Yarrowia lipolytica: one gene and its partners. The protein of the gene in region 1 purifies or fractionates together with the protein of each later gene. This does not show direct contact. Links are inferred from orthologs where the notes say so. Each region holds a gene or a part of one and is shown in the gene's direction. Other genes may lie near its edges. The genes, in order: YALI1_F30647g, YALI1_D31186g, YALI1_C01789g and YALI1_D35394g.

Region 1 (6,269 bases):
AGCCAGAAGCCAATCTTGGACAGGTTGGTGGACTTGCCCACACCGTTAACTCCAACCACAGAAATAACATAGGGACGTCCTCCACCGAGCTTTTTGTGCCGCTGGACCTCGTGGAGCAGGTCTAGAGAGGCCGAAGGGGTCAGAATCTTTCGAAGAGCGTCCGCCATGGCCTGCTGCACGGTCTGCTCGACGGTGGTCCACGAATTGGTAGTGCAGCCGACTAGTGACCGTGACACCTGGTCACATAGGTGGACTGCAACCTCCTTGGCCACGTTCTTCTTCATGAGCTGCTCCTCGACCTTGGCAGTCACCTTGTCCATATCTTCCTGTGTGATAGTCTTACCGCCCATGATGTTCTTCAGGAAACCGAATCTCGACTTGGAGGGGATCGGAGGCTCGTCGTCACCCAGTTGTTTGAGCACAAAATCGCCCTGCTTGTTGGCTCCTCCATAGTTGGTCATATCCACATCTTCCACAACAGCCGTAGCTCCTGAGGGTCCAGAGGAGAAGTCAAGATCCGCGTCGTCGTCAGAACCGACATCCAGGGCTTGGCCATCCTCTCCCCATTTTCGCATGACACCCTTCTTTTTCTTTTCCGCTGTAGAGTCGTCCTTCTTGCCCTTCTTTCCTCGCCGACGGGTCTTTCCTCCTCCAATAGGTGTAGATGCTCCGCTGGCTGCAGAGTCTGTATCGACAACAGTAACAGACGACTCAATCTTCTCGATCACAGGGACCTTTGCCTTTGCCACGGGCTCCGGCTTGACCGTCTCTGCCTCCAGGGAAGCCAGTTTTGTAGCGAACCATGCTTCGTACTCGTTATCGTCCAACTGGGGGAACAGTTGTCGGGCTTGGGTAACCAGCTGACCCACCCAAGGCAGATGAAGAAGAGTCTTGTAAATGCACACAAATACGAGCCCCTGCTCGTTGGCGACTGCCCATCGGGCCGTGTAAATGTCCTTGGTGTAGGTGGAGTCCTGGACGGGATAGGACTCTTCGATGAACACGTCGGATATCAGATCATTGACAATATGTGTGACGTTGGATGCTGAGGGAGGGGAGTACTGCCACTTGACAATTCCTCCCTTTGTAAACGCGACAAAGTGGTCAATCATGTTTGTTGTAGAGAGAAGAATCGGCCTGCTGATCTGTTGATTTTTTTTTATTCTAGGGATATTCCAGTAGGTTCGGGGATATGTAGACGAAATTAGGTTAGCATAAACCTGCACGGCACAGGAGTCGAACGGACATGCGTATTATGGGGTGTGTGTATGTCAGCATAACACAGAGTTGGGACTTTTAATAGCTATCAAAAACATTGGCATACAGACGAGGGCAAAGAAAGCCAGAAAACGAAACAGGCTCATCGGCACGTCCAAAAAAAAAAGACACTTGCGAAAATCGATATACGCAAAATGGTCGCGATAAATAGGGCGTTATAGACGCGACGAGGAAGCTGGGGGAGTGTACAACCAGACGGAGAATGGCCAGGGCACATAAAAAGAATGCCTGAGTCGTTTCCAGAGTGGCGAAAACAACACGGATTTGAACTTCCGACTTTTCTTTGCTTCCACCAGAGCCCCAATATGGCTCCCTTCTTCTCACCCACGGCTTTCCGCGTGGTGATCTTCGTACAATAGTGTGCATTTCACACTTCTCTCTCGTGTGACGTAAGAGGGCACACATGCCACAACAAGACAGCAAAGATAAACTCTACTTATACACACCAGCACCACCCATCCATACACAATGTCAACGCCTCGGACTGTGTGGCGCCGAAGAGGCGAGGAGTCGTCCAGCGAAGATGACTTTGACCTGACCCCACCCACCCGGAAGGCTGCCGCCAACAAAAACTACGTTGAGCCCAGCAGCAGTGAAGAAGACGACCATATCCGACCCACAAGAGACAGCAACGACGACGACGACGACGACAACGCAAATGCCAGCCTACAAGCGCAGCTGGCGTTTGACGAAGACGAGGGAGTGGCCGATTCGCAGGCCGATTCCGAAGAAGAGGGCTCTCGTCGGAAGCGCGGTCGAGCTGCAAGCAGCGAGAATGGTAAGTCCGTTCCAGTCACACTTGCCATCGGGTGTCGATTAGCCCAGATGATGGAGAATGGAGGTGAGTGAACTACGTGACCAAATTACTACAGCAGAGATTCGCGACACACTCGATGTCTCATGTCTCACATCTCATTAGGTACTAACACAGCTATTGGAAAACGCAGAAAAGTGGAGGATGACTCCGACTTTGAGATTGAAGTAAAAAACGACGACTCGGACGGCGGATCGCCTTCGCCGGCTTCGGACTCGGACGATGTCAACTTTGGTTCTCGGGCTCGGAAGAAGAAGGGAAGCAGACGCAAGGGCAGATCACACCATGCTACGGGAGGAAAGCGACCCAGACGCGCTCGTTCACAGGTCCCCGACGACGATGAAGAATACAGCGCCAGTGATAACTCGTCGGACAACGAAGGCTCCAACGATTCTGGTGCTTCCGAGAGAGACGAGGATCCTATCAATAACTTTGTGGAGGACGATGAAGAGGTGCAACCCGTGCGACGATCGAACCGACACAGAGGTCTGGGACGACGGGAACGAATCGCTATTGCTACTGCTGACGACGATGATGACGACGACAAGCGTCTGTCATTGGCTGTTGAGCTGGCAGAACTGAGACGAAACGATCCCCCTCCAATCAGAAAGAAGACCCTGAGAGCTCGAAAGGCGGTCAACTACCAAATACTGCCCCCACCCACCGTGGACGAACCATTCAATGCAGATGAGGCAGGTGCTTCTGCTCCCACACGACGTCGAGGCAATAACAATGCTCTTCGACGTCTCATCCCTACAGTGGGACCCTTCGGCGGAGGCGACGTGATGCCTTTGTTTGGAAACAACGTGCCTGGACTCACAGCTGTTGGTGGAGCCGACGATGACGACTCCAGTGATGACGAAAAGATCAAGGGTATCCAGGGAGCTCCTGGCATTGCCAAGAAGAAGAACGCAGTGGCAGACACGGATCCTCTGGGAGTGGACATGAACATTGACTTCACCCACGTCGGAGGTCTCGACAACCACATCAACCAGCTAAAGGAAATGGTGATGCTGCCCATGATGTATCCTGAAATCTTCAAGCGGTTCAATACCACTCCCCCGCGAGGTGTACTGTTCCATGGTCCACCAGGAACCGGTAAGACCCTTCTGGCAAGAGCTCTCGCTGCGTCCTGCTCCACTGAAGGAAGAAATATCACCTTCTTTATGCGAAAGGGAGCCGACTGTCTGTCTAAGTGGGTTGGCGAGGCTGAACGGCAACTGCGTCTCCTGTTCGAGGAGGCCAAAAATCAGCAGCCCAGTATCATCTTCTTCGATGAGATTGACGGTCTTGCCCCTGTGCGATCGTCCAAGCAGGAGCAGATTCATGCCTCCATTGTGTCTACCATTCTGGCATTAATGGACGGTATGGATAACCGAGGCCAAGTGATTGTTATTGGAGCTACCAACCGTCCTGATTCAGTAGATCCTGCTCTCCGACGACCCGGTCGATTCGATCGAGAGTTCTATTTCCCTCTGCCTGACAAGGAGGCGCGAAAGGCCATCATTGGAATCCATACCAGCAAATGGTCCCCCCCTCTGCAACCGCAGTTTGTGGACCATGTCGCTGGTCTGACCAAAGGTTACGGAGGAGCCGATCTCAAGACTCTGTGCACCGAGTCTGCAATCAATGCCATTCAGAGAACATACCCTCAGATCTACTCTTCGCATGCCAAGCTCACGATAGACCCTGCCACAATTAATGTGCGAGCTGCTGATATTCTGTTGGCTGTCGACAAAATTGTGCCCTCTTCTGCGCGATCCTCTTCTTCCGGGGCGACTCCTCTGCCTCCTACTGTGGCCCCTCTGCTTCAGAACACCGTCGATGAGCTCAAGGACCGTCTGGACTCGATTGTTCCTCGAAAGAAGAAGCTGACAGCTTTGGAGGAGGCTCTGTTTGAAGAGTTCCCCGACGAGGACGGTGGGTTTGCACGAATTCAGCGACAGAAGCTGTTTGAGAAGTCGCGAACCTGCCGACCCAAGCTGCTCATCTCTGGTGACACTGGTATGGGCCAGCAGTACATTGGCAGTGCTCTTTTGCATCATCTGGAGGGGTTTCACATTCAGCAGCTGGACCTGGGATCTCTCTATGCCGATAGCAGTAGAACTGTCGAGGCTACACTGGCTCAGATCATCACTGAAAGCAGACGTCATGCTCAGTCGGTGCTGTACATTCCTAACATTGAGTTCTGGCCCACAACTCTCTCTTCTCAGGCACTGTCCATCTTCTACACTCTGATGAGACAGGCGCAGAGCCAGACCGAGCTACTTGTTCTGGGTATCTCTGAAATGCCTTATGAAGAGCTTCCCGGGGACTTGAAGTCTTTCTTTGGGGTAGCTGCTTCTCGCCTATATTCCATTCGAAAGCCCTCACTGTCAGAGCGACGAAAATATTTTGAGGGTATCGAGCAGTACATTGTGGCCAAGCCTACAGACTACCCTGACCCTGCGACCCGAAAGAGACGAAAGCTCCCCATTCTGCCCGTTGCACCCCCGCCTCCGCCCAGGGAGTTGACTGCCTCCGATGTCAAGACGCAGCAGAAGAAGGACATGCAGCTGAAGAACGTCATCAAGGTGAAGCTCAGTGGACTGATGGAGCTGTTCAAAAATCGGTACAAGCGGTTCCGAAAGCCACCCATTGACGATATTCATGTTGCTCATCTGTTCGAGCCTGAGATTGATCCCCAGGCTGCTGCTTTGCATGATTTCAGACGTTCTGAGGACGACATGATTTTGCAGGTGTCCACTGGCAAGAAGTACTACAACTACGATCTCGATGTGATCGAGGATCGGGTTTGGAATGGCTACTACTCGGAGCTCAAACAGTTCCTCAAGGATATCGAGTACATCTACCTTGATTCCATCACCTCGGGCGACCGCGAGCGACGAAACAAGGCATCGGAGATGTTTGCCAATGCCCAGGTGGCCATTGAGGAGATGAGCATCGACCAGCAGTTCGTCGCTGACTGCAAGAAGATGCGACAACGAGAGATTGAGGCTCAGGAGAAGTGGAAGATTGAGCAAGAAAGAGTGGAGGCTGAGGAAGCCAAGGCGACCGCTGAACAATACGAGGCAGAGGCCCGTCTTGCTGCTGAGGTACAAGAGCGAGAAGTGGATGGTGACGACGGAGATCCCGATGTCAATCAGATGCAGGTCGACGGCGAGGGTATGATCGAGGAGGTCAAGGACGAGGAGATGGCTGACATTGACGCCGAAGATGAGAAGGTTGACAACAAGACAGAGGAAGTCGAAGTGGCTGAACCCGTTGTCGCTAAACCTGCTGTGGTCGAGCGTGCTGTTCCCGACCCTGTTGTCACAGAGGTGACCGAGACGGCAACTATTGGAACCGAGCCCGCCATCAACGGACACGCCAATGGAACTGTCGTTGAGGAAGAGAACGTGGAGGCTGAAGTCCAGGTTGCACCTCCTGTGGAAGCTTCTCCTTCTCCCCCTCCCACTCCTGATCCTCCTCTCATTGTAGACACCAAGAAGGCTCAGGATGTGGTTGACTTCCTTGCTGGTAACACTGGCGAGCTCACTATCGAGGAGCTTGAGCAGGTCTATGCCGCCATCATTGACATTATATGGGCACACCGAGCATCCTGGGACCGAAATGTCATAATCAACGCCATCACTGCCCAGCTGGACGAGATCGTCAATGCTTTCCACGAATAAACAAATAGACCTATATTAATTAATGACTACAGTATGAAATTGTTAAATTATCGATGACTGTGTCACTTATCACGTAATGACCGCTGTGCGTGCTTTTACTGAGGCACCTCCACCACCCGTGTTGTCAGTTCTGAGTCTATTACCATGTAGTCAATCTATATATACATCCACTAATCCTGGTGGAGCTCCTTGCACTTGTCCAGGAGCAGTCGACCGACCTTCATAACGCCCAAATCATCACCGTACTGTCCCATGATCTGCATGCCTACGTTGCCCTGCTTGGTCTTCCAGGGAATGTTGAGGGAAGGAATACCGGTCAGGGAAGCAGGGACGGTGAGTACATCGTTGAGGTAGGTATCAACGGGAGCAGAGTCGTTGAGCTTAGAAAGAGGGTAAGGCGCACAGTTAGAAGTGGGAGCAATGATGAAATCCACACCGGGCTCATCGTTGGCCTTTTGACCCTCGTTACCAGAAAGCACGTTGGGTCGGTTGAAGACCTCGTC
Region 2 (6,815 bases), on another chromosome or scaffold:
TCATCTCAACTTCGCTTACGTAAGGCTAGACGAGTCGAGAGTGGTATCAGAATGGTCGTCATGACTTCTTCTACATGATGCCATTTCTGCCTAAGCGATATCTTTTTGTATATTCACGATTCTACAGTTGTGGTCGACGCGTTAGATGTATGTCAGTAATATAACAGTAAAAAAAATTATACCTGATTCTAGCAAAGACTTGAGATCATTTGAGTGATCGATTGTACGTAATCCGTCTTTGACAAAAGAGTTTCTGCAGTATTATTTGGGTATTTCCTGAAAATTCCAGAGCAATTGGCCCCATGAAGATGTCGGATGGGTTTTTTTGTGGTTTTTTTGTGGTTTTTTGTTGTTTTTTTGTTTGTTTTTTGTTGTTTTTTTTGTATCAAGTATCTCTCAACTAATTATCCACAGATTATACTTGTATTGAGAAATGGAAATGTCGCCTGTTTGAAATATCAATATTACACAAGATGATTCTATTGAAATATTGTTATTAAACCGAGTATACGCTATCGTTTGGTCCCTATTTTATATCTCTAATATTCCTGGAATCCCAGATAGATTCCCCCAGAAACTTTTTTCTCAACAATTCCCAAGTAAGTAAAGTCAACTAAGTGATATACAGACAGTACATTATGTGGCTGTTGGATAAAGGGAAGCTGAAAAATAGGGAAAAATTCTTTTCCAATCACACCAGAAGCACCACAATATCTGTTTCAATCACTTGCAGTTTTATGACTATTTATTTCTATTTACTTCTATTTATTTCTATTTATTTCTATTTATTTCTATTTATTTCTATTTATTTCTATTTATTTCTATTTATTCTATTTATTTCTATTTATTTTTTTTTTATTTTCATTTCTTATAAATTTACCATTATCAATTCTTCACGTTGACCGTTACCATGGCAACCGCCCAATGTTATTTCACAAACTCTAAAATACGCGTCTCCCACACTTGTCTTTCACGACTACCAAATACTTTTCTGTTTCTCTACACACAACTTTTTTCGGACGACTGAACAGAGAATTCCACGAGAGGTGAGTATTTGAAGCAAGGCGCCAGACGCTATGGAATGCGCAGTGGTAGGCGAGGCCTACTAACGTCAATCGATGCGGGGAGGCGGTTTTGGAGAGCATCGTTCTCACGCGACTCTTCATGTGGTGACTAGATGGACCATGTGGTGACCACAACAAGGCTGGTATAGTCACTATGTGGAGAGTCTTCGACACAATTTGCAGCGAGCTGTGGCTATTTGGGGCGCCATATGACACGACCGCACACACGTCCAACTTGCTGCTCGTTCAGATCAATGCTTTGGTGCTTTAGATCTCGACCATGAGGTGACATTTGCCACCGTAGCAGATCCATGAAGTGTGGTGCTGGTTCCTGGCAGTGCGGTTGTTTTCTGGTTTGTCAAGTGTGGTTCTGTGTCTCTCCTGAGAGCTCAGCTCACATCTGCGGTGGCAGCTCTCCTGGTGAGACACCGCCAATGGCGCACACCAGTGATATTGCACGCGCTGCCCCGATCTAGAGCTTTTCTGCTCGCTCTGACTGTAACACATTCGGACCCAGATCTTCCTCGCCACCTTTGTGGTCACTATCGCCGCTCGCATCATTCAACCTACATCTTCGCTCCGTTCAGCTCCTAACCCAGATGGCCAAACAATCCACCCTCTTCTCTTCCTTCGCCTCCGACGAAAACACCCCTCCTCGTCCTCGCGGCAAGTCTAAGCCGAAACCCACCATGTTCTCCGACGACGACGATTCTTTAGTCATCTCCGACGATCACTCCGAGTCGGATTTCGCCCTGAGTGACGATGAACCCAAGAAGAAACCCGCCAAGGCTGCCGCCAAGCCCAAGGCTGCTCCCAAGTCCAAGGCCAAACCCCTCCAGGAGGTTGCCAACGACAATGCGCCAGTGCCCTCTCCCAAAGGCACCCCCAAGGGCAAAAAGGGCTCCGCCTCCGAGCAGTACCAGAAGCTCACCCAGCTGGAACATATTCTCAAGCGTCCAGACACGTACATTGGCTCGGTGGAAGCTACGGCCTCCCCCATGTGGGTGTGGAACCAGACAACGTCCGCCCTCGAACACAAGATGGTCACCATCGTGCCCGGTCTGTACAAGATCTTTGACGAGATTCTGGTCAACGCCGCCGACAACAAGATCCGAGACCCGAAAATGGACAGTCTTGAAGTCACAATCGATGCCGACAAGAACGAAATCTCGGTCATGAACAACGGTAAGGGTATTCCCGTTGAGATCCACGACAAGGAGAAGATTTACATTCCCGAACTGATTTTCGGCAACCTTTTGACTTCCTCAAACTACAACGACAATGAGAAAAAGGTGGTTGGTGGCCGAAACGGTTTTGGTGCCAAGTTGTGTAACATCTTCTCGACCGAGTTCAAGCTGGAGACGGCCGACCAGAAGAACGGCAAGATTTACACCCAGACTTGGTCCAACAACATGTCCAAAGTGGACAAGCCGAAGATCAAGGAGCTTAAAACCAAGAAGGAGTACACCAAGGTCACCTTCAAGCCAGATCTCAAGCTGTTCAATATGACCGAGTTGGACGCTGACACGGTGGGCGTGTTGATGCGACGTGTCTACGACATTGCCGGTACCACCCACGGTGTCAAGGTGAAGCTCAATGGCACTAGACTGGCTTTGAAGGATTTCAAGGCGTACGTCGACTTATATTTGAAGAGTCTGGTGGCCGACGAGGACAATGAGGTTGTGCAAAAGTCGAAAATCGTGCATGAAATTGTCAATGATCGGTGGGAAGTCGCGTTCGCGGTCTCCGACGGCACGTACCAGAACGTGTCCTTCGTCAACTCGATCGCCACCACCTCTGGAGGCACACACGTCAACTACATTGCCGACCAGCTGGTAGCCAAGCTTACCGCCACCGCCAAAAAGAAGCTCAAGGACGCGCAGGTTAAGCCCGCCCAGCTCAAGGCCAACATGTTCATTTTCATCAACTGTCTGATTGAGAACCCGGCCTTCACTTCACAGACCAAGGAGCAGATGACCACAAAGGTGTCTGCCTTTGGCTCTAAGTGCGAGCTGTCCGACAAGTTTATCAAGCAGGTGACCAACAACACCGACATTATGGAGCGGGTGCTGAGCATTGCCGGCCGGAACGCAGATGCAGCTCTCAAGAAGACTGACGGATCCTCCAAGAAGAAGCGAATCACCACGTTGGTGAAGCTGGAAGACGCCCAGCTCGCTGGAACTAAGCGTGGCCATGAGTGCACGCTCATTCTCACTGAGGGAGACTCCGCCATGACCATGGCGAACGCTGGACTGTCTGTGATTGGTCGAGAACGATATGGCGCCTTTCCTCTGCGTGGTAAGATGCTCAACGTGCGAGAGGCGTCCACGGACCAGATCATGAAGAACGCCGAGATCCAGGCTATCAAGGAGATCATCGGTCTGCAGCACAAGAAGCACTACACGAGCTGCAAGGACCTGCGATACGGGCATCTGATGATCATGACCGATCAGGATCATGATGGTTCCCACATCAAGGGTCTGATCATCAACTTCTTGGAAACTATGTTCCCTGGTCTGCTTCAGATCCCCGGGTTCCTGCTCGAGTTCATCACTCCGATTGTTAAGGTGATGGTGATGCGGGGCAAGAAGGTGGTCAAGACAATCCCCTTCTACAACATGCCCGAGTACGAGGCGTGGAGGGACTTTGAAGGCCAGCAGTGCACGTGGACGAGCAAGTACTTCAAGGGTCTGGGTACCACGCCCACTGCAGACGCCACAGAGTATTTCAAGGACCTGGATCGTCACATGAAGCAGTTCCACGCGGTGACTGCGGAGGATCGGCCGTTCATCGAGCTGGCGTTTTCCAAGAAGAAGGCCGATGACCGAAAGGAGTGGTTGCGCAAGTACAAGCCGGGTACTCACCTTGATCCAAAGTTGACGCACATTCCCGTGTCGGATTTCATCAACAAGGAGCTGATTCTCTTCTCTATGGCCGATAACATGCGTTCCATTGCTTCTGTTTGTGATGGATTCAAGCCTGGACAACGTAAAGTTCTGTTTGGTTCGTTCAAGCGAAAGTTCACCGTGTCCATCCGAGTGGCGCAGCTCGTGGGATATATTTCCGAACACACCGGGTACCATCATGGTGAGGCTTCTTTGGGAAGCACTATCATGGCCATGGCCCAGGATTTTGCCGGTAGCAACAATATCTACCTGATGAAGCCCGATGGAGGATTTGGATCGCGATCTCAGGGAGGTAAGGATGCCGCCGCGATGCGATACGCCCAGACGGAGTTGATGGACATCACCAAGGCGATTTTCAACAAGCAGGATGAGCCGCTGTACAACTACGTCACTGACGACGATACTCCGGTCGAGCCAGAGTATTATCTTCCTGTTCTGCCAATGTTGCTTGTGAACGGCTGTGAAGGAATTGGTTCTGGATGGTCCACCAGTATTCCTCCTTACAACCCACTTGACATTGTCGACAATTTGAGACGCATGTTGAAGGATGAACCTCCCGTACCCATGATCCCCTGGTTCCGAGGATGGCATGGCGAGGTGGAGCCTGTGGGAGACGGCCGGTACAAGGTCAAGGGTTTGATTGAGCAGGTTGACGAGCGCACGCTCTGTATCACAGAGTTGCCTGCTCGAATGTGGACCATTTCCATGAAGGAGTTTTTGCTGAGTTCGCTGATTGACTCCAAGAACGAAAAGGGCTGGATTGAGGATTTTACTGAGGACCACGGTTTCCGAGTCAAGTTCAACATTACATTGTCGGAGAAGGAGATGGAGAAGACACGTCAGATTGGCCTGAGAGAGCGGTTTAAGCTGATTTCGTCGCTATCAACCTCTAACATGGTGGCGTTCGACCCTGAGGGCCGGATCAAAAAGTACGACTCCCCTGAGGCGATCATGAAGGAGTACTTTCCGGTGCGGCTGGAGTTTTACCAGAAACGAAAGGACCGGCTGGTTTCTGACTTTGAGCAGCAGCTCGAGAAGCTGACGGCCCAGGCGCGGTTCATCAAGCTCATCATCGACAAGAAGCTCAACATCAACAACAAGGGCCGAAAGGTGCTGATTGCAGAGCTCTCTGAGCTCAAGTTCCCGCGGTACGGCAAGAACGGCGAGCGGCTCGCATCTGACGCCAAAGCCGCCATTGCCGAGGACGAGGAGGCGCCCTCGGATGAGGTTGCTGAAGATCTGGCCGAGGCCGAGGAAATTCACGGCAAGATCCCCACCAACGGATACGACTATCTTCTGGGCATGGCGCTGTGGTCTCTGACCAAGGAGCGGTACGAGAAGCTGCTGCGGGAGCGGGACGGAAAGGAGGAGGAGCTGATTGAGCTGCTGAAAAAGTCCGCCAAGGACATCTGGATGGACGACCTGGACGTGTTCATGGAGGCTTATGAGAAGTTTGAGGAGCAGGACGTGGAGAAGCAGCAGAAGCTGGACAACTATACTGGTAAGAAGGGCGCCACGAAGCGGAAGCGGGCAGCCAAGAAGAAGGCTGGAGATGACGACGATGAGGATTTTATTGTTGGCAAGAAGGCCAAGACTGCTGCTAAGCCCAAGACGGCAGCGGCCAAGTCACGTGCCAAGTCGTCTTCAGCGTCGGTTGAGCCCGAGGTGGTGGATTTGGATGATGTCAAGGTCAAGAAGGAGCCAGGAATTTCCAAGACCAAGCCCCGTTTGTCCGACACCGCCACCTCTCCCAAGTTCAAGAATACGTTTGGCTCACTTGGTTCCACTTCCATCTTTGGCGACTCTCCCGTCAAGTCTTCTCCCACCAAGATCAACCGTCTGGGAGCTGCCGGTGGCAGGCTTCAATTTGGATCCGGCAAGCTCGATTCTGAGTTTGAGATACCCAAGAAGAAGCGGGTGTCGCTGTTTGGATCGCTGTCTGACGATGATGACGATTTGGACATGGGAGGGTCCATTGAGGAGGTGCAGGATGTGGCCAAACCGGTCAAGAAGGCCGCCCCCAAGAAGGCTGCTCCCAGAGCTGCTCCTAAGGCCGCTCCCAAGAAGACTGCCCCCAAGAAGAAGTCCATTTTTGACGACTCGGATGAAGACATGAATTTGTCAGACGATGAGGTGGCCGAGGTGGCGTCTTCCGCGTCGTCTAGAGCGTCGTCTAGAGCGTCGTCGGCTCGACCTCGACGTGCCGCCGCCCCCAAGAAGTCTGTGTACGTCGATTCGGATGATTCGGACCTGGATATTGTCGATGATGAAGAAGATGTGTCCATGTTCAATGATGATGATGAGTAAGGTCGGGCGACCATGATGGTCACTTTTTGAGAAAGTAATTTATTGTTTGTGATTATGGTGGATGGTGGTAATGTAGTGTCAGAGACTGGTATTGTAGCTATTGGATATTGTATTTTAATTCTCGTATCTATTAAATTAATTAAATAGTTTTTTTAGTCAGGAAGACATCAAGTCTGTACATATCGTTGTCAACTCCTTCGATTCTCAATTAGAAAAAAAAGTATGAAATTCTACTTTTTAATTCTCCCATATAAACCAATCTATATTTTCTTATTACCACTCTCAAATGTTTCTATTTAGTATTTCCCCAAATTCTAAGTAAATACGTCCCTCATTAGTTGACTTATTACATCTGGCTCTAACTCTCCCAGTATAGATCCGATCCCCAGAATTTCAGCTATAATCTGCTTATCTGTGGCTCACAAGCAATTTTTGTCCTTCGAAAAATCCAGCTAGTCTCCCACAGCCACCCAAATGCCCACTCTTTCGTGCCACACTCCATAAACGTCTCGCTAAAAAGAAATTGACAGATCTAAAC
Region 3 (6,379 bases), on another chromosome or scaffold:
TCATCTCCAGATCAGTCCGACACTCTCCTCACGTGATACTCACCTTCATGTTGTTCAGTTTACTACTGAGATGCGTTTTGCTCGCCGTAGGAGGCGCCTTTTTCATGTTGCTGTTCATGGCGGTTGTGTGGTTGGTGATGGATGAAATTGTATCATGCATGTCGAAGGATATATTTTCTGTGCATTTCCGAGCCGCACGGATGCCACAGTTGGACACAGTCCTGGAGTATGTATACTGTAGGCTGTAGATAGGAGGAGAAGTTTTAAAGACGTTGAAGATATCTTAAAAGGTGAATTAACAGGGGACATAGTCTACGGTCCCGTGATAATACCTCAGCAGCATATATATTGGTTACTAAGAGATGCAACACAATGTAACGTGAGGTAAGGTACCAATTGCAAGTACAAGCATGGACTGTAACGTATATTATCGAATACAGTATGTTTTTAATGCTGCTATATGCACCTATGCCAACGCCTCCAAGTCAACCGGCTGGTTATTCTTGTCCAGAATCTTACTGAAGAACTCTCGAGAGATCTTTCCATCCTTACCCTCAGTCAAGACAACACCATTTTCAGACAGGAAGAATTCGATTCCGGCCTCCAGAGCCTTGGGAACATTGATGTAAATGAACACCTCTCTGTTAAGTCGCTTTCCAGCCACAGAGCCTCCTTCGGTGACTAGATCGGTAGCCAAATGGATATGTTGACGTTTCATCTTGGACAATCCTTCCTTAAGTACAATGGGAAGCACCTGTTTCGAGGTGGCGTGGAAGATCTCAAGAGTGGGGAAGTCCTCGGGGGTCTTGAGAGCCTTCATCTCGACCTTGGTGTTGATAGTGTGTCCCTGGTTAGCTCTGATCCAGTATCCCGTGCAATCGTTGGGGTCTGTGGGTTCTTTGGGCTGTTTTTCTGTGGGCTCAAAGATGAGCTTGTATCTCTGTTTGTCGTTATCTCGCACAACCCGCTTGGTGTCTTCCAGGTTCCATTTCCCCTTGATTCCAGCTCTATTGAGCAGCACACCTACAGACAAGTATCCGTCTTCTCGAATGGGCAGCTTTTCCTTGGTGGCGCCGTGTCGCAAGATGTACGACAGTTTGCGAGAGTACTCCTCGTCAGGCGTCATTTCTCGTCGGGGTCGAGGCATTGTTGTTGGAGTGAACTGTGTGAAGAAGATTCAATTTAGATGCAGATAAAGATCCTGGTTATGCATGCAAATGTGACAGTGGGATACATGACAGAGCAGCATAGGTATGGGCGATATAGGACGGGGATGCGTCACGTGACTGATTGAGAAGTTGGCTTAGACCCCATTGAGGCCCCCGGGCACCTGTGTAGTGTCAAACGAGAAAGTATGAACGTTCCTTAACGAGGTGCTGTATGTTCCACTTCAGCTGAAAGATGAAGGCCCTTCAGTAATTAGTCTACAAGAGCACTGTTTTAACGTACATACTGTACTGGACCTACTCTGTCCTCCCCCCAAGTAAGTCAAAGCAGTGCAACAGGACATTTTAACACCATGCGGACCGTCTGAGTAAATATTTCGGCCGTGTCTGCCAGCCACAACCCGCTATTTCGACATCTTCCTTCTGACTGGTGCACCTTCATTCCAGCCAAACTTTCCAAGCATACTCACCCAAAGCGGAGTCGAACCGGCAACATCCATACCGCGCCGCGTAAAACGTGGTCCGAAACCGTGGGTGGGAGCAGATTAGACTTTGGTCGACCCTCACACACTTTCACCCACTGCTGTCGAGCGAAACTATCAAGCGTGTAGAACCGTGCGGTATTCGACGAAACCGAATCATCAACGGCACACACAGCACTGGCAAGATGGATCTCGAAAACGGGCATTCGCCAGCACCCAATGGCGGTGCTCTCAACGGCTCCGCCAAACAGCCCCACTATTATTCCATCCCCACCCCCGAGAGCGTGGAGCAGGCCCAGTTGTTGTTTTTGGTGAGTATCAGAGGAAGAGGAAGACAAGAGGAGGGGAGACAGACCCAACACGACGGACGGAACACCATCACGTGACACCGAGGACGTGACGACACCACGTGACATTGTCAGAGTGTGATTGTGTTATGGACACGACAGCCGACGTTGGACGGGTCGACACGACATTATCGATGTCATGGGTCATGGGTCATTGGTATCGTATCGTATCGTTGCACATAACGTGACGACACACGTGTCTCAACACAGCACAGTGTGCAAGTCTATTGCTTGACCGCCATCTATTCTCATTCTAACACAGCGATTCAATGCTCTTAATCAATCCGACCACCCGGTGACACCCGAACTCGAGGGCATCGTCACCCGGCTGCACACCATGGGCCAGGAGCAGCAGCTGTACAACAAGCGTCTGGCAGAGGTCAACAGCGCCCGAAAAGCCGCCCACAACAAGATCGACCTCGACCTGCTCCGAACCCAGGTCAACGCGTTCAGATACCTGAGCCGAGGTCTCGACATGCCCACCGACGTGCAGGAGCGCCTAATGGAGACGGTAGGCATCGAAAGTGACATCACCGAAGAGGAGGCTGACGCAGCACTTGAAAAGTCACTCACCCCTTACCAGCGACGTCTCAAGGACAGCGGAGTGCCCCCCCGAGGCGGGTTTGTGGACAACGGGCGGGGAGTCGGTGGACGACACGAGTTCATCATCACGAACCGAATCTCGCAGCGGATTCTGGAGCTCGAGTCTCTGCCATCAAACCTCGGAGTGTTGGATGCTTCCCGGGATGATCTCGGCAAAGCCGAAGGCACTGATGCGCTCAAAGTACGAGCTGTGGCCGAGCTCAAGGCCCTGCGGCTGCTAACCAAGCAAAAAAGTCTGCGGCAACATCTAGTCTTCTGCAAGGCCCAGACGTCCCAGGTGACCGACTCGGTCATCAACCGGGCTCTCAACCGACGAGCCAAGGTGCAGACCGCGCACGAGATGCGACTGACGGAGCAGCTAGAGCGACAGCAGCGCATGGAGCGTGAACGCAAGCAGCGGGAGGAAATCATGGCGTACGTCAACTCGGTGTGCCACCAGTCGGACCGAATCAGAGAAGAGGCCCATCGTCGACGAACCAAGCAGTACGCCGTGGCCAAGGGCATCCAGCAGTTCCACTCGTACGTTGAGCGAGAAGAGAGTCGACGAGTCGAGCGAACTGCCAAGCAGCGTCTGCAAGCTCTCAAGTCCAACGACGAGGAGGCCTACCTCAAGCTCCTGGACCAGACCAAGGATACACGTATCACCCACTTGCTGCGACAGACCAATTCGTTCTTGGACTCTCTGTCATCTGCCGTTCGTGCTCAGCAAGGAGAAGCCGGAACTCAAATGCCCATTCCTGCTGCGGAGGAAGAAGGAGGAGAGGGAGAAGAGGACCGCGAGAAGATCGACTACTACCATATTGCTCATCGAGTCAAGGAGACAGTCTCCAAGCAGCCTTCTATCTTGGTTGGGGGTCAGCTCAAGGAGTACCAGCTCAAGGGTCTGCAGTGGATGGTGTCTCTGTATAACAACTCTCTGAATGGTATCTTGGCCGACGAAATGGGCCTTGGAAAAACTATCCAGTCCATTTCCCTCATTACCTACCTTATTGAAGTCAAGAGACAGACCCGGCCTTACCTGGTCATTGTCCCTCTCTCGACACTCACTAACTGGACCAATGAGTTTGAAAAGTGGGCTCCCAGCGTTAAGAAGATTGTGTTCAAGGGTTCGCCCAACCAGCGTAAGGAGTTGTCCAACCAGGTACGAGCAGGAGACTTCCAGGTGCTGCTCACCACCTACGAGTACATCATCAAGGACAAGGCGCTTCTGGGCCGAATCCGGTGGGTGCATATGATCATTGACGAAGGTCATCGAATGAAAAACACCCAATCCAAGCTTGCCCAGACGCTCACGCAGTTCTACTACTCTCGATACCGACTCATTCTTACAGGTACCCCTCTGCAGAACAACCTGCCCGAACTGTGGGCGCTGCTCAACTTTGTGCTACCCAAGATTTTCAACTCGGTTAAGACGTTCGACGAGTGGTTCAACACGCCGTTTGCTAACAGCGGATCACAGGACAAGATGGAGCTCACGGAAGAAGAGACGCTGCTGGTCATCCGACGTCTTCATAAGGTGCTGCGTCCCTTCCTGCTGCGACGTCTTAAGAAGGACGTTGAGAAGGATCTCCCCGACAAGGTGGAGACCGTCATCAAGTGCAAGATGAGCGCTCTTCAGCTCAAAATGTACCAGCAGATGCTCAAGTACAACGCTTTGTACGTTGGTGACGATTCTGGCGCGGCTGGTGTCAACAAGAGCGGAGTCAAGGGTCTCAACAACAAGATTATGCAACTGCGTAAGATTTGTAACCATCCTTATGTATACGAGGAAGTCGAGACTCTTCTGAACCCATCACATGGCAACAACGACCTACTGTGGCGTTCTGCAGGTAAGTTTGAGCTTTTGGACCGAATTCTGCCCAAGTTCAAGGCTAGGGACCATAGGGTGCTCATGTTCTTCCAAATGACCCAGATTATGGACATTATGGAGGACTATTTGCGGCTCCGTGGCTTGCAGTACCTGCGACTAGATGGTAACACCAAGGCCGACGATCGATCCGAGATGCTGAAGCTCTTCAACGCTCCCGATTCGCCCTATTTCTGTTTTCTGCTGTCCACTCGAGCTGGTGGTCTAGGTCTGAACCTGCAGACAGCCGACACAGTTATCATCTACGACACTGATTGGAACCCTCATCAGGATCTGCAGGCACAGGATCGAGCACATCGAATTGGTCAAACCAAGGAGGTGCGAATTCTGCGTCTGATCACAGAGGATTCCGTTGAGGAGGTTATTCTCCAGCGAGCTCACGCAAAGCTTGAAATCGACGGAAAGGTCATTCAGGCCGGAAAGTTCGATAACAAGTCGACGGCCGAGGAGCAGGAGGCGTTCCTGCGAGGGCTGCTGGAGCAGGAGGAGTCTAAGCGTGGCTCTCGAGAGGCAGAGGACGAGGACCTTGACGATGAGGAGCTCAACGACCTGCTGGCTCGAAACGAGGAGGAGCGGGCTTTCTACGCCCAGATGGACGCCGAGCGGAACGCCACAAGCGATTATGGCAAGGGCGCAGGACGACCCGATCGGCTGCTTTCCGAGTCCGAGTTGCCGGACCAGTTCACTCAGGATGTGTCTGAGCATTTCCGAGAGGACGACATGGCCGACTCGGACAAGTACGGCCGAGGAGCTCGAGAGCGAAAGGAAGTGTACTACGACGACGGCCTCACAGAGGAGCAGTGGCTCAACATTGTGGACAATGACGAGGATCTGGACGCTGCCATCAAGAAGCGACGCCGAAGCCGACGGTCCCGAGCCCCCACTGATCTGGATGACGGTCTGGACGCCGATGATATCATCGTTGACGATGCCGATGGAGACGACCAGTTTGTCGACGAAGAGGCGTCTCCTCCTCCCAAGAAGAAGAACAAGAACAAGATCCCCAAGGTCCGGGAAACCTTGTCTGTGGCTGACCGGGAGGAGCTCAACGAGTCATGCCAGCTGGCTCTCAACGAGTGTTTTGCGCTGACGGAGCCCTGGGATCCTGAAGATGAGTCTGCGGGCCTGCGGCATGTGTGTGACCTGTTCCGGTCCATTCCCTCCAAAAAGCTGTATCCCGACTACTTCAAGCTCATCAAGAATCCGATTGCGCTTGACGTGATCCAGAAGAAGGTGAAGCAGAATGTGTACCAGAACCGGTACGATTTTGTGGCTGATTTCGAGCTCATGAACCAGAATGCTCGAACCTACAACGAGGAGAACTCTCCGGTTGTTACGGATGCCGACCGTCTTTTGGACATTGCCCGGGGTTAGAAGATATATAATGGGCAAAAAGGTCCCACTAAGCTGTATAATATGATGTGTTTGTTTATTACACAGCTGGAGCGAAGCTGTCTATCCGTACGTCTACTTGTAGTAATATCGCCTTTACCTTCTACTCAACGAAACCAAGCACTCGCAGTGTATCTATCGAAATTCGTCTCATTGTATGTTCTTGCCAAGGGCGCTCAGAAAAAGCGCCTCACAGCTAGTCTAGACAATTAGAGATTAGAACACACCCTTTTTTGCAAGTTTTACTACAGTACTTGTTTTGTCATGTGACATAATCTATGGAATATTCTTTTCAATCTTTTCTATTTCTCTCGCACTCAGGTCAGAATATTGTTGAGAGAGTCTTGTTAAAGGTGATACCCCGGACCAACCTGGTCAATTTCTCACATAGACATGAGAGGAACCAGCTTGGTCGTAGACAATGATGTCCATCCTGTAAGCAGTGTATCTGCCGATCTAGAATCTCTTTCTGGTGAATGAGCAAGCACACACTCTTCTGGTGTGTGCTACTATCGGAACGTA
Region 4 (3,728 bases), on another chromosome or scaffold:
GACTGGTCTAGAGCTCTCCTCTCCGTCTGGATCGGGCCGCTTCATCACCAGCTTAAGAGAAGGAGCTGCATCCTTGTGTTTGGTGACCACCACCTGGTAGAGAGAGTAGCTGCGTGCCTGGCAGCCAATGCAGTTGTGTAGAATTTCGTGGCAGAAGACGTCACAGTCGATGCAAAAATGAGAGTGGCAGGTGGGACACTCATACCGTGACGTCATGGAGCCATCGGCTTGGATGTTTTTTGCATCTCTTGCCACCACTGGGAACTTGGATTGACAGCCTGCACAGAATTCAGACTTGTGTGCGTTCTTGCAGGGGACTTCAATAAATGGAGCCAGGGGGAAAAGATGGTGATACGATCTGGCCAGATGGGTGGACAGAATAAGTGTGAGACCACAGCAGGGGCAGACTGTGGGGAGTGAAGACACCTTGACCTTACATTGCGGACAGACGTATCCACCTTGTGTGAGAGCTGCATCGGAGGCCGAAAGAGAGGGAGCTGCTTCTGAAACCTTTGAAGGAAATCCCATGAGCACCAGGGATGCTGGATTGGCGCTCTGGCTTTGTTGTGACTCTGCCAAGGGTGTAGTAGCCTCGTCCATGAGCTCCTGGAAATGCTGTTCGTTCAGCACGACACCATAGTATGAAGCGTCTCCAAAGTTGGTTTTGACACACAGTTCCTTGCAGATCGCCACCTGCGCCGCCAGACCAATGACTCGGGCTCGGACCTTGTCAATAACGAGCTTGTCGATGGTTACGTGGATATCTCCTGGGTCAGCCGACAACAAGGCACCCAGAACAACCAGTACCTCCTTAGTGCAATGAGAAGGCACATGGAAAAGCAGACCTCGAGCCATTTCAAGAGCATTTTGAAGAGATGGATCACCTTGAGGCTCGAGCTTTTTGGCTGCCGTCAGGGCGTTAATGTGGTCGTTGGGGTTACTGCCCAATGTCGATATGCTGATTGCCTGTCCGTTTCTCATGCCCAGAATTCCGAGCTGAGAAATGGGATTCTGGTCGAAGAAGTTGGTTACGAATTCAATGGCATGGTTAATGACAAATTGGTACCTGTTTGGTCTGAGATCGGACTCTTTCATGGCAAACGAAAAGTCGAGCACCAAAATCAGGTTTCGAATGATACCTCTCTGGAACGGAGTTGCATCCTTGATGTGTCGTTTCTTTCTTGCTTCCACAAGACCCGCCACCGAGCCTGCCAGCGATCCTCCCTCGTCCTCTTGCACGACGTCCCAAGATCTATGGTATTCGTCTTCCCATGAGTATCCTCCATTGGCCATCTTCATGTTCTCCACCGAGCCTCCGGCGCCCTTGGGGGCCTGGTTTCGTCGCGACCGCCGAGGGGCACCCTGGTACTCGTCTCCACTAATGTTTTCAATGTAGTCGTCGTCCGAGTCGTCCATGGTGTGCTGAGATGTGTACTCGTACCCGTACTAGATAAGAGTATGAAGAGATGAGTGTTGTATGCATGCTTGCCATACAACGGAAGAAGCAGGACGTCGATACAAGGCGGCATTAGAATAGGTTTAAAGATTTGAAAGCAATTCTAAGTGGATTATTCGCCGTCGAAACAAATTTACAGAAATTAATATAGCCACTCCACTTCTTCTCCGCCATCTCATACACCGCTGTCTCTTGGCTGGGTCACATGACGAAGCTAATTTTTGGAGTATGGTTTCTGTCATACTCTAGTCAACACCCACACGTCGGAACGTTCATCACGTCGAACAAAAATCACCACACATCTCATCGAACCCAGACACCAACACAAAGACAACATGTCGCTCATACAAGACATTTTGGACGTGTTGCTAGCCGACGCCGTCGGAAAGACTGTGCTCTCCACAAAGGCAGTGCCCCAGGTGTCGCCTCAGTCCACAAACCTGTCGGTGCTTGCAAGCTATGCCCAACACAACGTTGCTGATCTGACCTCGGTATCCGAGAAGGCGTATGATTCGGTGCGCAACTTGTACGTGGACGTCAAGACCGCAGCCGTCCAGGCTCTGGTGGCGCTGCCAATTGGCTCGGAGAAGTATCTGGAGGTGGACCGGTTCTTCAAGTTTGCCGCAGCCCTCATCATCCGAGAAGGCTCGCGGATGGACCTGTTTGGAGGCAAGGACCCCGAGGATGTGGTACCCGAGGACGTGACGGAGTTCGAGGAGGAAATCGTGGCCGACTACGCCGACTTGACTGCGGACTTGGAGTCGTGGAGCGCAGAATCGTTTCTGGTCATGGGCCAGAATGGACCTCTGTTTTCGACGTTGTCCACCAAATCGGCCATCGACCCGCGCCCAAGTATAACCCCGGGCGCGTTCCAGGTAACCAACGTACTGCCACGTACCCGGTCGGTTCCGGCCTACCAACTGGGCTACCTCACACCTGCCGTGTCGCGACTTCCACACCCAGCCCTGCCTCCGACAGAGATGATGACGCACTTTGTGCACCCCAACGGCTCCGAGTTGGCGCCCAGCCGGTTCCTGCGGATGGACGCAAACTCGTCCTTTGCCCCCACTAGCGACAGTGGTAAGGCCGTCTACGACCCCGCTTCAACCGGAGCTCTGTGGTACGAGAAGGTTGGGCGACTGCGAGAAAGCGCCATCGACGACGCTCTTGGAAAGAACGACACCAAAAAGGAGGATACTAACGACGTGGAGATGAATGACGCGACTGAGGCTAAGGTGGAGGGACAGGAAGAGGAAGAGGAGAAGGGGGGACAGGGAGAGGAAGAGGAAGACCTCCAGCCTCTGTTTAGAGATGAAGATGTCGACCCCTCCAAGGATCTGCCCATGGAAGACATTCTCCAATGGCACCCTCGAAACTTCATTGACGACGACGAGTTCGAAGCCATCAAAACTGGCACCGAGCTCGAGTTTGTCAGCAGACTCATGCTCCAACTGCAACAACTCCAGGCAGACCGTTTGGCCACACCTGACATACCTCCACCAGTGTCGTTTGAGGAGCGACGGCTTGCAATGAAAATCGAGGGTGTGTTGGGACGGCTGCTGCAATCCACCGAGGGCATCGACATTGCTAACTCCAAGATCAAGCCTTCCACTAACATCCCTGCTCTCAAAACAAACTATCTGGGTGTTTTGCCGGCCCCTGAACCTCCAAAGCCCATTTCTTCCGTCGGACGTCTACCTTCTGGTCCCAAGACCCGACGGGCTAAGCGGTAGATGGGTGAGATAGAACGGTGATATTTGGGGGAGACGCCATGGCGTGACTCCTGGCACGGGCTGCCAGGACCTGTATTAGTTAGGATAATGTATGTTTAGTAATTTTCCGGGGTGTGAAACAATCTAAATGCTGTCAGCTAGAATAGGTCAAGATCGACGGGTAGCATCACAAGTACATACTGTACTGTATGTACTTGTACTTGTACGTACTTGTAGTTGTATGTAAATTAAGTAGTTGATTCTACACGCTTCTCAAGTTGGCTCTATTACAATGCTGTAACTAGACTAATACGTATGTTAAGAAGTGGATGTGTGTAAGGAGCATTTAATGTCGAAATAACTGGTTTAAGGAAGCGCACAACGCTTTTGTACAGCCATGAGCTCCACTGTCATCTCTGTATACGAATCACGCTACGGTACTACTCGTAGCTATATCTCGTTGTTACTCATTCATATATTATAATAAAAGTGATCAACTCCGTTATAGAGGAACGTCAGCACCCATGGCAATAGAGATGATCAAAAACAAGTTAAGAGCA

Evidence for each region.
Region 2: the proteins of YALI1_F30647g (region 1) and YALI1_D31186g purify together in Saccharomyces cerevisiae (affinity purification with mass spectrometry, with the first as the bait; 3 studies listed by BioGRID). This does not show direct contact. The link is inferred for Yarrowia lipolytica from reciprocal best matches to the Saccharomyces cerevisiae genes YTA7 and TOP2.
Region 3: the proteins of YALI1_F30647g (region 1) and YALI1_C01789g purify together in Saccharomyces cerevisiae (affinity purification with mass spectrometry; 3 studies listed by BioGRID). This does not show direct contact. The link is inferred for Yarrowia lipolytica from reciprocal best matches to the Saccharomyces cerevisiae genes YTA7 and STH1.
Region 4: the proteins of YALI1_F30647g (region 1) and YALI1_D35394g purify together in Saccharomyces cerevisiae (affinity purification with mass spectrometry, with the first as the bait; 3 studies listed by BioGRID). This does not show direct contact. The link is inferred for Yarrowia lipolytica from reciprocal best matches to the Saccharomyces cerevisiae genes YTA7 and RSC58.

What each region holds. Positions count from the first base shown.
Region 1 is NC_090775.1:3,063,011-3,069,279, forward strand, and holds YALI1_F30647g (uncharacterized protein), read left to right. Parts: upstream 1-1,746; coding exon 1,747-2,119; intron 2,120-2,209; coding exon 2,210-5,766; downstream 5,767-6,269. Other genes in the region: YALI1_F30641g (uncharacterized protein), read right to left, coding at 1-1,112; YALI1_F30703g (uncharacterized protein), read right to left, coding at 5,937-6,269. UniProt on the Saccharomyces cerevisiae protein: Functions as an ATP-dependent nucleosome disassembly factor that helps evict canonical histone H3 from the 5'-end of genes upon their induction.
Region 2 is NC_090773.1:3,116,951-3,123,765, forward strand, and holds YALI1_D31186g (uncharacterized protein), read left to right. Parts: upstream 1-1,663; coding exon 1,664-6,277; downstream 6,278-6,815. UniProt on the Saccharomyces cerevisiae protein: Control of topological states of DNA by transient breakage and subsequent rejoining of DNA strands. Topoisomerase II makes double-strand breaks. Essential during mitosis and meiosis for proper segregation of daughter chromosomes.
Region 3 is NC_090772.1:174,805-181,183, reverse strand, and holds YALI1_C01789g (uncharacterized protein), read left to right. Parts: upstream 1-1,833; coding exon 1,834-1,959; intron 1,960-2,257; coding exon 2,258-5,839; downstream 5,840-6,379. Other genes in the region: YALI1_C01810g (uncharacterized protein), read right to left, coding at 44-160; YALI1_C01800g (uncharacterized protein), read right to left, coding at 467-1,147. UniProt on the Saccharomyces cerevisiae protein: Catalytic component of the chromatin structure-remodeling complex (RSC), which is involved in transcription regulation and nucleosome positioning. RSC is responsible for the transfer of a histone octamer from a nucleosome core particle to naked DNA.
Region 4 is NC_090773.1:3,537,441-3,541,168, reverse strand, and holds YALI1_D35394g (uncharacterized protein), read left to right. Parts: upstream 1-1,791; coding exon 1,792-3,189; downstream 3,190-3,728. Other genes in the region: YALI1_D35398g (uncharacterized protein), read right to left, coding at 1-1,416; YALI1_D35356g (uncharacterized protein), read right to left, coding at 3,671-3,728. UniProt on the Saccharomyces cerevisiae protein: Component of the chromatin structure-remodeling complex (RSC), which is involved in transcription regulation and nucleosome positioning. RSC is responsible for the transfer of a histone octamer from a nucleosome core particle to naked DNA.